Ovis aries: one gene and its partner. The protein of the gene in region 1 purifies or fractionates together with the protein of each later gene. This does not show direct contact. Links are inferred from orthologs where the notes say so. Each region holds a gene or a part of one and is shown in the gene's direction. Other genes may lie near its edges.

Region 1 (4,427 bases):
CCAGGAAAATCTGGGCTACTGGGGGAAATTCGCTGTCCAGCTGGCTAGGGCAAATACCAAGAGTGCAGTACTTTTATCCGCTGGATTTCACTTCGCGTGGAAATAGAAAACGGAGGTTTCCCTGAGCTCAAAAGCCAGGGCCTCGGGGGTATCCGCACCCTGACTTACTTGGCTCAGGACAACTGTAAGGTGCCCGGACCGCTCGACTCTGGCGGCCAGAAAAGGACTCTCTCGCGCCCTCTGGACCTGGCTTAATGGCGGCGGGACAGCTCCTAGGGGTTGTCAAAGGTCCCGCCAGGGAAGGGCATGGGTACGGAAACCCCGGGAAGGGCACGCAGTGCAGCCGGCCAACATCCACTACAACCCTACAAACCTAGCTAGGCGCAGCTGGCCGCTGGCGTTTGCTACTTGTGAAAAATAAACCGCTCCACTGAAAGTAGCCAAATCTACGTCTGTTTCACGTCTCCGACCACCCTCGGTTCACCTCTCCCCACCCCACACCCCCCACTCCCCAAACACACACCATATACACACAGACTCCGACAGTGATAGCACTCTTTCACCCTTAATAACGAGCAAGAAAAAGCTAGAGCGAGAAAATAAACGGCTGTTTCTTAGGCATGGGGGTTGCCAAAAGAGCCGATGCCGCTGCCTCCTGATCCTGCGCCTGTACGGACGCACTCATAATTCTGCATTTCTCCAACAAGTTGTTTATGGAGTTGTCTATTTGCGTACACCCCGCAATCCACCCCTTCTCGGTCTCCTTTGCCCCTTCCTCGGTCCTGGCCTGAAAGAGGGGGAGGGGCTCGGGTGCGGATAAGGGAGGGAGGGCCGGACACACGGGGCCCGCGCCGCGGCTCCCCCTCTCCGCCCGCGGCCGCCGCCCCCGGATTATTTATCCGCAAAGTCCCGCGCGCGCCTATTGGGCCGAGGCCCGGGTGTCAGCGCGAGTCCTGGCTCGCCATTGGCCCCGCACACGTGCGGCCCTGACTCACGTGCTTCCGGTTTGAAGGCAAAAAGTGTGCCTGGGTGATTTTTTTTTAAGCGAGAGAGTTTGAGCAAAGATCCGAGCTGTCAGAGATTTGAAAAAAAAAAAAAAAAAAAGCAGCCCCGGCGCTGGCGGAGACGCGCTCTCCCTGCAAAAAAAGCAAAGGCGATTAAAGGCGCTGCCAGCCTCGCGCTCTGGGCACAGCTGAGCGTGACACTCGGGGAAGTCAAACCCCTCACTACTGCCTAGGAAAATGGCTAGACTTTAAAGACTATTTTTTTTTTTTATCTTTAAGAAAAAAAAATTCTTGGAGATTTTTTTCTTGCTTTTTCCTTTCCTGTTTTTTTTTTTTCTTTATTTTTAGCCGTGGCTTACTCCCCATTTAAAACAAATTGATTCTGGTTGCAGAAAGAAAAAAGAAATAGCCAAGTGTCTCCATATCTGGATATCTACAAATTAGAGAGAGACAGCGAGATCTGCTCGATAAGAGCGAGAGATCCAGGCCAGGCGCCTGGGCTTTTTTTTCTGCACCCGCCCCGTGCCTTCGCTGGGGCTTTGCCGGCCTCCTTCCTCCGCACACCCCCACGGGCCGCTGGCAAAGTGGGGTGGGGAGCGAGGCGGGGGGGGCGGGGGCCGGCGCGGCGGCCGAGGCGGCGGGGCGGCCGAGCATGGAAGAACAGCAGCCGGAACCTAAAAGTCAGCGCGACTCGGGCCTCGGCGCGGCGGCGGCGGTGGCGGCGGCCCCCGGCAGCCTCACCCTGAGTCTCAGCCCCGGCGCAAGCGGCAGCAGCAGCAGCGATGGAGACAGCGTGCCGGTGTCCCCACAGCCTGCGCCCCCCTCGCCGCCCACGGCGCCCTGCCTGCCGCCCCTGGCCCACCACCCGCATCTCCCCCCGCACCCCCCGCCCCCGCCGCCGCCGCCGCCGCCGCCGCAGCAGCAGCAGCATCTCGCGGCGCCTGCTCACCAGCCGCAGCCCGCGGCCCAGCTGCACCGCACCACCAACTTTTTCATCGACAACATCCTGAGGCCGGACTTCGGCTGCAAAAAGGAGCAGCCGCCGCCGCAGCTCCTGGTGGCGGCGGCGGCGGCGGCCGGAGGAGGCACAGGCGGAGGCCGGGTCGAGCGTGACAGAGGCCAGACCGGCTCAGGTAGAGACCCCGTCCACCCGCTGGGTACGAGGTCGCCAGGCGCCGCCTCACTCCTGTGCACCGCGGACGGGAACTGTGGCCCACCCGACGGCTCCCCGCCAGCCACCGCCGGCGGCGCGGGCGCGTCCAAAGCTGGGAACCCGGCGGCGGCGGCGGCGGCAGCGGCTGCAGCAGCGGCCGTGGCGGCGGCGGCGGCGGCGGCAGCAGCGGCCAAGCCTTCGGACAACGGCGGTGGCAGTGGAGGCGGCGTGGGGAGTCCAGGTGCGCAGGGTGCCAAGTACCCGGAGCACAGCAACCCGGCCATACTGCTAATGGGCTCAGCCAACGGCGGGCCCGTCGTCAAAACTGACTCGCAGCAACCCCTCGTGTGGCCCGCCTGGGTCTACTGCACGCGCTACTCCGATCGCCCGTCCTCCGGTGAGTACCCAGCCCTAGGCTGCGCGGTGAACAGGCAGACGCCGGTAGAACTCTCAGCCGCCGGGCTGGGGAGAGCGTGCGGGCCGGATCCCGAGGGTTCTCTTTTCTCACGCCTGCTCTCTCATTTTCACCTTCGATTCCAGTCACTACCGACTGTTATACCGAGTTTTGCGTTCCCGGGCTCTGCGACTACCACCTGGGAGGTTACGGCTCAGGGTTACAGGGAGTGGATCCTTCGATTTTGAACTCCGAGCCCTTCTCGCCTTCTTTGTGTTTTACCTTTATTATTCTTAGTAAACACCCAATCAGTCATTGCTTTTTCTTCCAGGAAAAGGGGTTTTTAGAATCAGCGGGAAGGTGGGCCTAGCGATCTGGGTCTCAAATCCTGCGGAGGCCGAAACTGAGCAAGGCTTTGATTAGAGAAATTATCTTCGCTTTGTGTCGTTGCAGACATAAACACTGTATCGATATTTTCTGCGGAGAGATCATTTGCAAAGAGATAGATGTAAGGAGACACAGGAAGAAAGAGAAACGTGTCTGATAGCTGTCCTTCTTCGGCAAGCCGGGTAGCCAAAAGGGCCTGACCCGCCTGGGTAGAATCCAGGGAAAGGCGGTTTCGGAAACAGCGGGTGCCGAGAGCCCCTGGCTCCCGATTCTCTGGAACTGACAGATAAACGAGGGAGAGGACAGAAAATACCTTAGGCTCAGGCCAGAGACCTGGGCCGAGGGCATGAGAGCCAGCCCCCACCTCAGCTTCTCCGTGGCCGCCTGGCACATCCTCCCGGGCCCTGCCCCTTCCTTTTTTCACTCCTTCCTTCCGTACATCTGCCCGTTAGCAAATTTCTGCCAGCCATGGGCCCATTTTTCTCAATTTTCCTTTGGCCTTTCCCCACATACCTCTTTGAGTTTGGAGAACCCCAGGCCGAGAGGTACTCAGGGGCAGCCACGAGGCCCCTGGAGAGGAGGCTGTGGCCTGCCCGCCTCCGGGGACCGCAGCTCCCAGGAGGCTGATGGGCGCCTCGAGGAGGGCGGCAGGGGTTCTGGTCTACGATTGGGGTTCCGCGCCTGGGTCTGGCAGGAGGCCGGGCTGGCGTCGCCGTGTGGCGCTCCACTCCGAGTGGTCTCTGACTTCCCACCGCTGCTGGCCGGGCGCGGATCGATGAGCGCTATCAGCCCCCGCCATCTCGAGCCCCGTTATTGACACATCGGGCTCCCTGAACCTCCGAAAAGCTGCTTTGATTGACTCGCCTGATGGATAGAGTGATTGAGCTGTCAGGCTGTGCCGCTCAGGCTGGCCAGGAGGCTACGATTTTATTACAAGTGTTCATGCCTCTGCAAGGGCACCCATACACACAGTAACAACAACAACAACAACAAAACAATTGCAACAATGCTCTAACAACCTAAGGGATGCCCGTCTCACAATGGGGCCTTTCTGAGGTTGCACACATTTCCTGGGCCACTTCTGCTCGACCAGCTAATTACTAACCTAAACCAAGGCCTTCCTGGCCCCTCACCCCGCCTCCCAGTGCTTTCTGCATCGGGCTCAGGAGTGGGCCTTGTCTTTGTTCTTGGCTGCTTTCCTTCTTACAAACCTGGGGAGGCAGGGTGCTGGTTTCTAATCCTGCAGGGGCAGTTGAGGGAGAGGAACCTCAACCCAGTCTTGAGTTGCGGTGGTCGGCCAGGCCTGGACTCTTTTGTCACAGGACAGCTGGTGACCCCTGGCGCTGGACTGCCCCAGAGGCCAGCTGCCTGGTTTACCCCTCTGCCACTAGGTTTGGAGATGCCGGTGCAGACCCTTCTTTCCAGACAATTTTAGAGGTTAACAGGCCAGATAGGGACTTCGCGCAGCTCGGGAAGCTCCCATAATCAT
Region 2 (3,646 bases), about 130 Mb from region 1:
TAATGACAGGTTTTGTTTTTATCATGCCCCCAAGAAAGCACACAGCTGCTTGGGTGTGAACTTTCTTATTTTTGTCAGAGGCTTTCTGATTATTGACCTTTGTCTACTTGAAGATAATAATCTCTAGAGCTTGAAGCATCCCTGCCCACACCATGTTTGCCAGGAAGGGAGGATGTCAGCCCACTTTAATTGCAGAAGCTATATGACATATTTTGGCAGTGAATTAAAAAATAAAGGTATTAAAAGGGACCAACAATTGTAGAAGTAACTTTACAGGTACAGTTTTCAAACCAAGAGACTGAGTTGGCAGAGGTGACACAGCCTATGCCTGAGACTGAAGGTTATACAAAGGCCAGATTTTGGTTAAGTCCAGGGAAGCGAACTTTGATGCAGTGAAGCAAGTAGGAGTGAATAGATGACCATGAGGAGAATTCAGTCTTCTGAGTAGATCAGAGGTTTTGACAGATCTTTTGGTCTTGGCATCAGACCAGGTGTGCATGAAGAAGGAAAAGCTTAGTTTTTAAGTGGATACCTTGCACTATTCCTCTTACTCCTTTTCCCCATTTAATGCAAGGACAAAGCTTTTGGGTGTTTACCTAGATAGTTTATGGCTTTTCCAAATTGGTCTGTGTTTTTACTTGAAGTGCAAATATGTGAGGCAGATGTTAAAACAAGTGACATAATGTTTACATTAAGTTGCCTGTTTTGTTTTCGTAGCCTTAAATTGGAATGTGAGAAACTGGCAAGTGAAAAGACAGAAATGCAGAGGCACTATGTGATGGTAGGTATCAAAGATTAGGTTTTTTTCCGTTGTCATGTAATAGTAACAAATATGTGTTCTCGGCATTACAGAACATGAGTTAATGAAATACTTGGTTCTTTTTTCTTTTTACAGTATTATGAAATGTCATATGGATTAAACATAGAAATGCATAAACAGGTAAGCTTTAGTGAAGTCTCAAGTTGAAATGAGAAATAAAGTCATGATTCTGTAGTACTGGCTTTGTCCTCTGTAGTGGGAGGTATCTGCATGCCATATTTCAGCCTTGGTTTCCCTTCCTGCGAATTGGGGGTTAGTGTTCTGCAGCAAGAGCTGGTTCTTGACAGTTATAAAATGTTTTAAGTTACTAGGTGAGAGGTGCTTTGGAAGTGTAAACTAGCCTGTTTATAGGCAGATTGGAATCGAGGCTTTGACTTGACTTTACTGCCTGGATACATTTATTCTCTTGGAAGACCTGGATATCCTGTCAAGTTCTGAAGTTCAGAATAGCTAACGTTTTTGTGCTGATTTGGAAAGAAGTGTGGCCCTTTGGGGGAAAGACGGGTAATCAGGAGTTTCTTTACTCAGGTTAAACAAGGTATAAGACAGACTATGGAGTTTTGGGGGCTGCATAAAGCGACACTCAGGATTAGCGGCATATTTGCAAACAACTTTTTAATAAATGTCTCAGTTGATACAAGTTTGGAGGTGAAAAAAGCATCCTTTTATGACCACAGCGTATGTTGTGAGTTGCTTCAGTCCTAGTGGTTTTAAAAGCATGAAAAGATTAGTGACTGGAAAGCTCAAGCTATGACTATGAGTTTGCAAGTTCCCATAAAATTCACACTTATGGCTACAATAATGGTGTATAAAAAGAGTATTGAGCTGGAACAAGGCACTAAGGACCTCATAAGAGAAGAAAAGCTAAATGATTGCTCAGCCCAAAGGACTCTCGATTGAGTAGTCATTGTCTGCCAAAGAAAGCATTAATGGCAGGGTGTAAGTATTCTGGAGATATGCTGACATTCACTTTTTCATCAAGACTCTGGTACAATAAGTCTTTTAGAAATCGATTGCCTCTTAAAAAATTATCATCAGATGAAGTTGCACAGTTGGACACATTTCAAAGTGCAACAATACAATTCTTACTTGATGTATATGTGCTATTTCATCTCAAACCCTTGTTTCATTAAATTAAAGAGCATGGCTGACCGGCTGGGGCACAGTGGAGAAATTGATTAGTTCAGCCTTCAGATCTTCCTTATATTCAAAGACTTTCATTAAGCAAGTGTGTTTCAGAGTTGAATTCTGCTTTTGTAACTCCGCACTCTTTGATTTTTAATTCATCATAGATTTCATAATGTTATGTTATCATCATGTACCTTAGGTCTATTCTTAGATATGTGTTTGGAAGGAGATGGTTAAGTTCAAGGCTTTTCATTAGCAATGTAATGGGCCTTTAAAAATGCCAGTTCTATTCTGATTTGCAAAGTTGGTAGCCTAGTTTCTGTTGGGTTTGTGTCTTTGTTTCTGTGTGCTTAAAGGGGCCGGTGCCTGATTGAGGCAATTGTAACTTGTTGATAGTAATTATACTAAAAGGTATATGGTCATTTAAATGAATTATGCAAATAAACTTGGTGGAGGAGTTCTAATGTGCCGCTTTGTTTTTTTAAAGTTACCCTAAAGGCACATTTTTTCCCCCCAACAAATTTTCTGGAAGGGTAAGGAGGAGATTGAGCTTTCTCTTAAACTCATAACTCAAAGGATGTAATAACCTCACTGACTCCGTACAGGCGAACGCCACCTCTGTATGATGTGTATTGGTGCTGGATTTATTGGGGGAGCTACGGGAGGTGCGAAATTCTCCTGGGTTCCTGTAGGTTACTTGGTGGAGGACCTCTATCAAAAGGAAGAAGAGAGAAGGAGGATCAGGAGCCCCATGGTGTGAAACTAGTTTTCTAATGAGTTTCTGGACTCCATTGGGCATTTGTGGGTATATACTGTCTGTTCATGAGCCAGTATGCGTTAATAATATGCTGTGTATAATTGGCTCAGTAATTTGAAAAATGTGAAAAGCTGAGAGATGTTGTGTTCTCCATAGTAGGATATTAAGCCCCCTGAAATTTGGTTTGTATTGTAAATGCTGACAGACCCTTAACTAGAGTAGTATGCAAAGCCGTGCTGTAATTCAGTTTAAAGTGGCCTTACATTTGAAAAACATCCTTCTGAATGTCACACATTAATAATAAGTTCTGAGGAGGCATTTGGTGCAGCTAGTAATCATAATTCTTATTAAAACTGGTGACGTCTGGCCCCCAGGGTGTAGCCAGGCTCAAATTGATGCTTTTTGCCGCCTGATCACCAGCATGGCCTAAGTGCTCATTATATTGTAGAGAGGGCCTTTGGAGCTCTCATTAGATTTGACAGGAATTCTCTCTAGGGGGAAACTGGGCATTAGCAAGACTCCTGACAGGCTGAAATTAGTCCTGCTTTATGGCTTATAACCAAATGCTAGCAAGGCATCATCAGGGGACACAAAAAATTGTCATTTCTGACAACATCTTTGTTACTGGAAAAAAAAAAAAAGGTAGTGATGGGGAAACTTTCCATGGAGAGTGCTTTAATGTTGTTAAGATTTGTCTCCAGTGTGACGACCGCTCTCCTCCCCACCTTTCAGCGGTTTTGTTGAGGGGTGAGTTTGAGAGATTTCAGTGTCAAATCTCACCACCACCTTTTCCGTCTGGAAGTTTGAATGTGGAAGTACATCCAGATCAAGAATGGTGTAATTGTGGTTTCCTTAGCTGGTTTGGTGCCTGCAGTCCGTGTTTATGTTGTGTCAACACTTCCTGATAAGCCTTCCCCTTACTTTCTCTGCTGCCATCTGTG

Evidence for each region. The genes of interacting proteins can lie anywhere in the genome.
Region 2: the proteins of EN1 (region 1) and transducin-like enhancer protein 1 purify together in Homo sapiens (affinity purification with western blotting; 4 studies listed by BioGRID and IntAct, with this or other methods). This does not show direct contact. The link is inferred for Ovis aries from reciprocal best matches to the Homo sapiens genes EN1 and TLE1.

The regions. Positions count from the first base shown.
Region 1 is NC_056055.1:184,154,753-184,159,179, reverse strand, and holds the start of EN1 (homeobox protein engrailed-1), read left to right. Parts: upstream 1-1,614; 5' UTR 1,615-1,656; coding exon 1,657-2,554; intron 2,555-3,451; exon of another isoform or gene 3,452-3,577; intron 3,578-4,427. UniProt on the Homo sapiens protein: Required for proper formation of the apical ectodermal ridge and correct dorsal-ventral patterning in the limb.
Region 2 is NC_056055.1:55,247,876-55,251,521, forward strand, and holds part of transducin-like enhancer protein 1, read left to right. Parts: intron 1-717; coding exon 718-781; intron 782-895; coding exon 896-940; intron 941-3,646. UniProt on the Homo sapiens protein: Transcriptional corepressor that binds to a number of transcription factors. Inhibits NF-kappa-B-regulated gene expression. Inhibits the transcriptional activation mediated by FOXA2, and by CTNNB1 and TCF family members in Wnt signaling.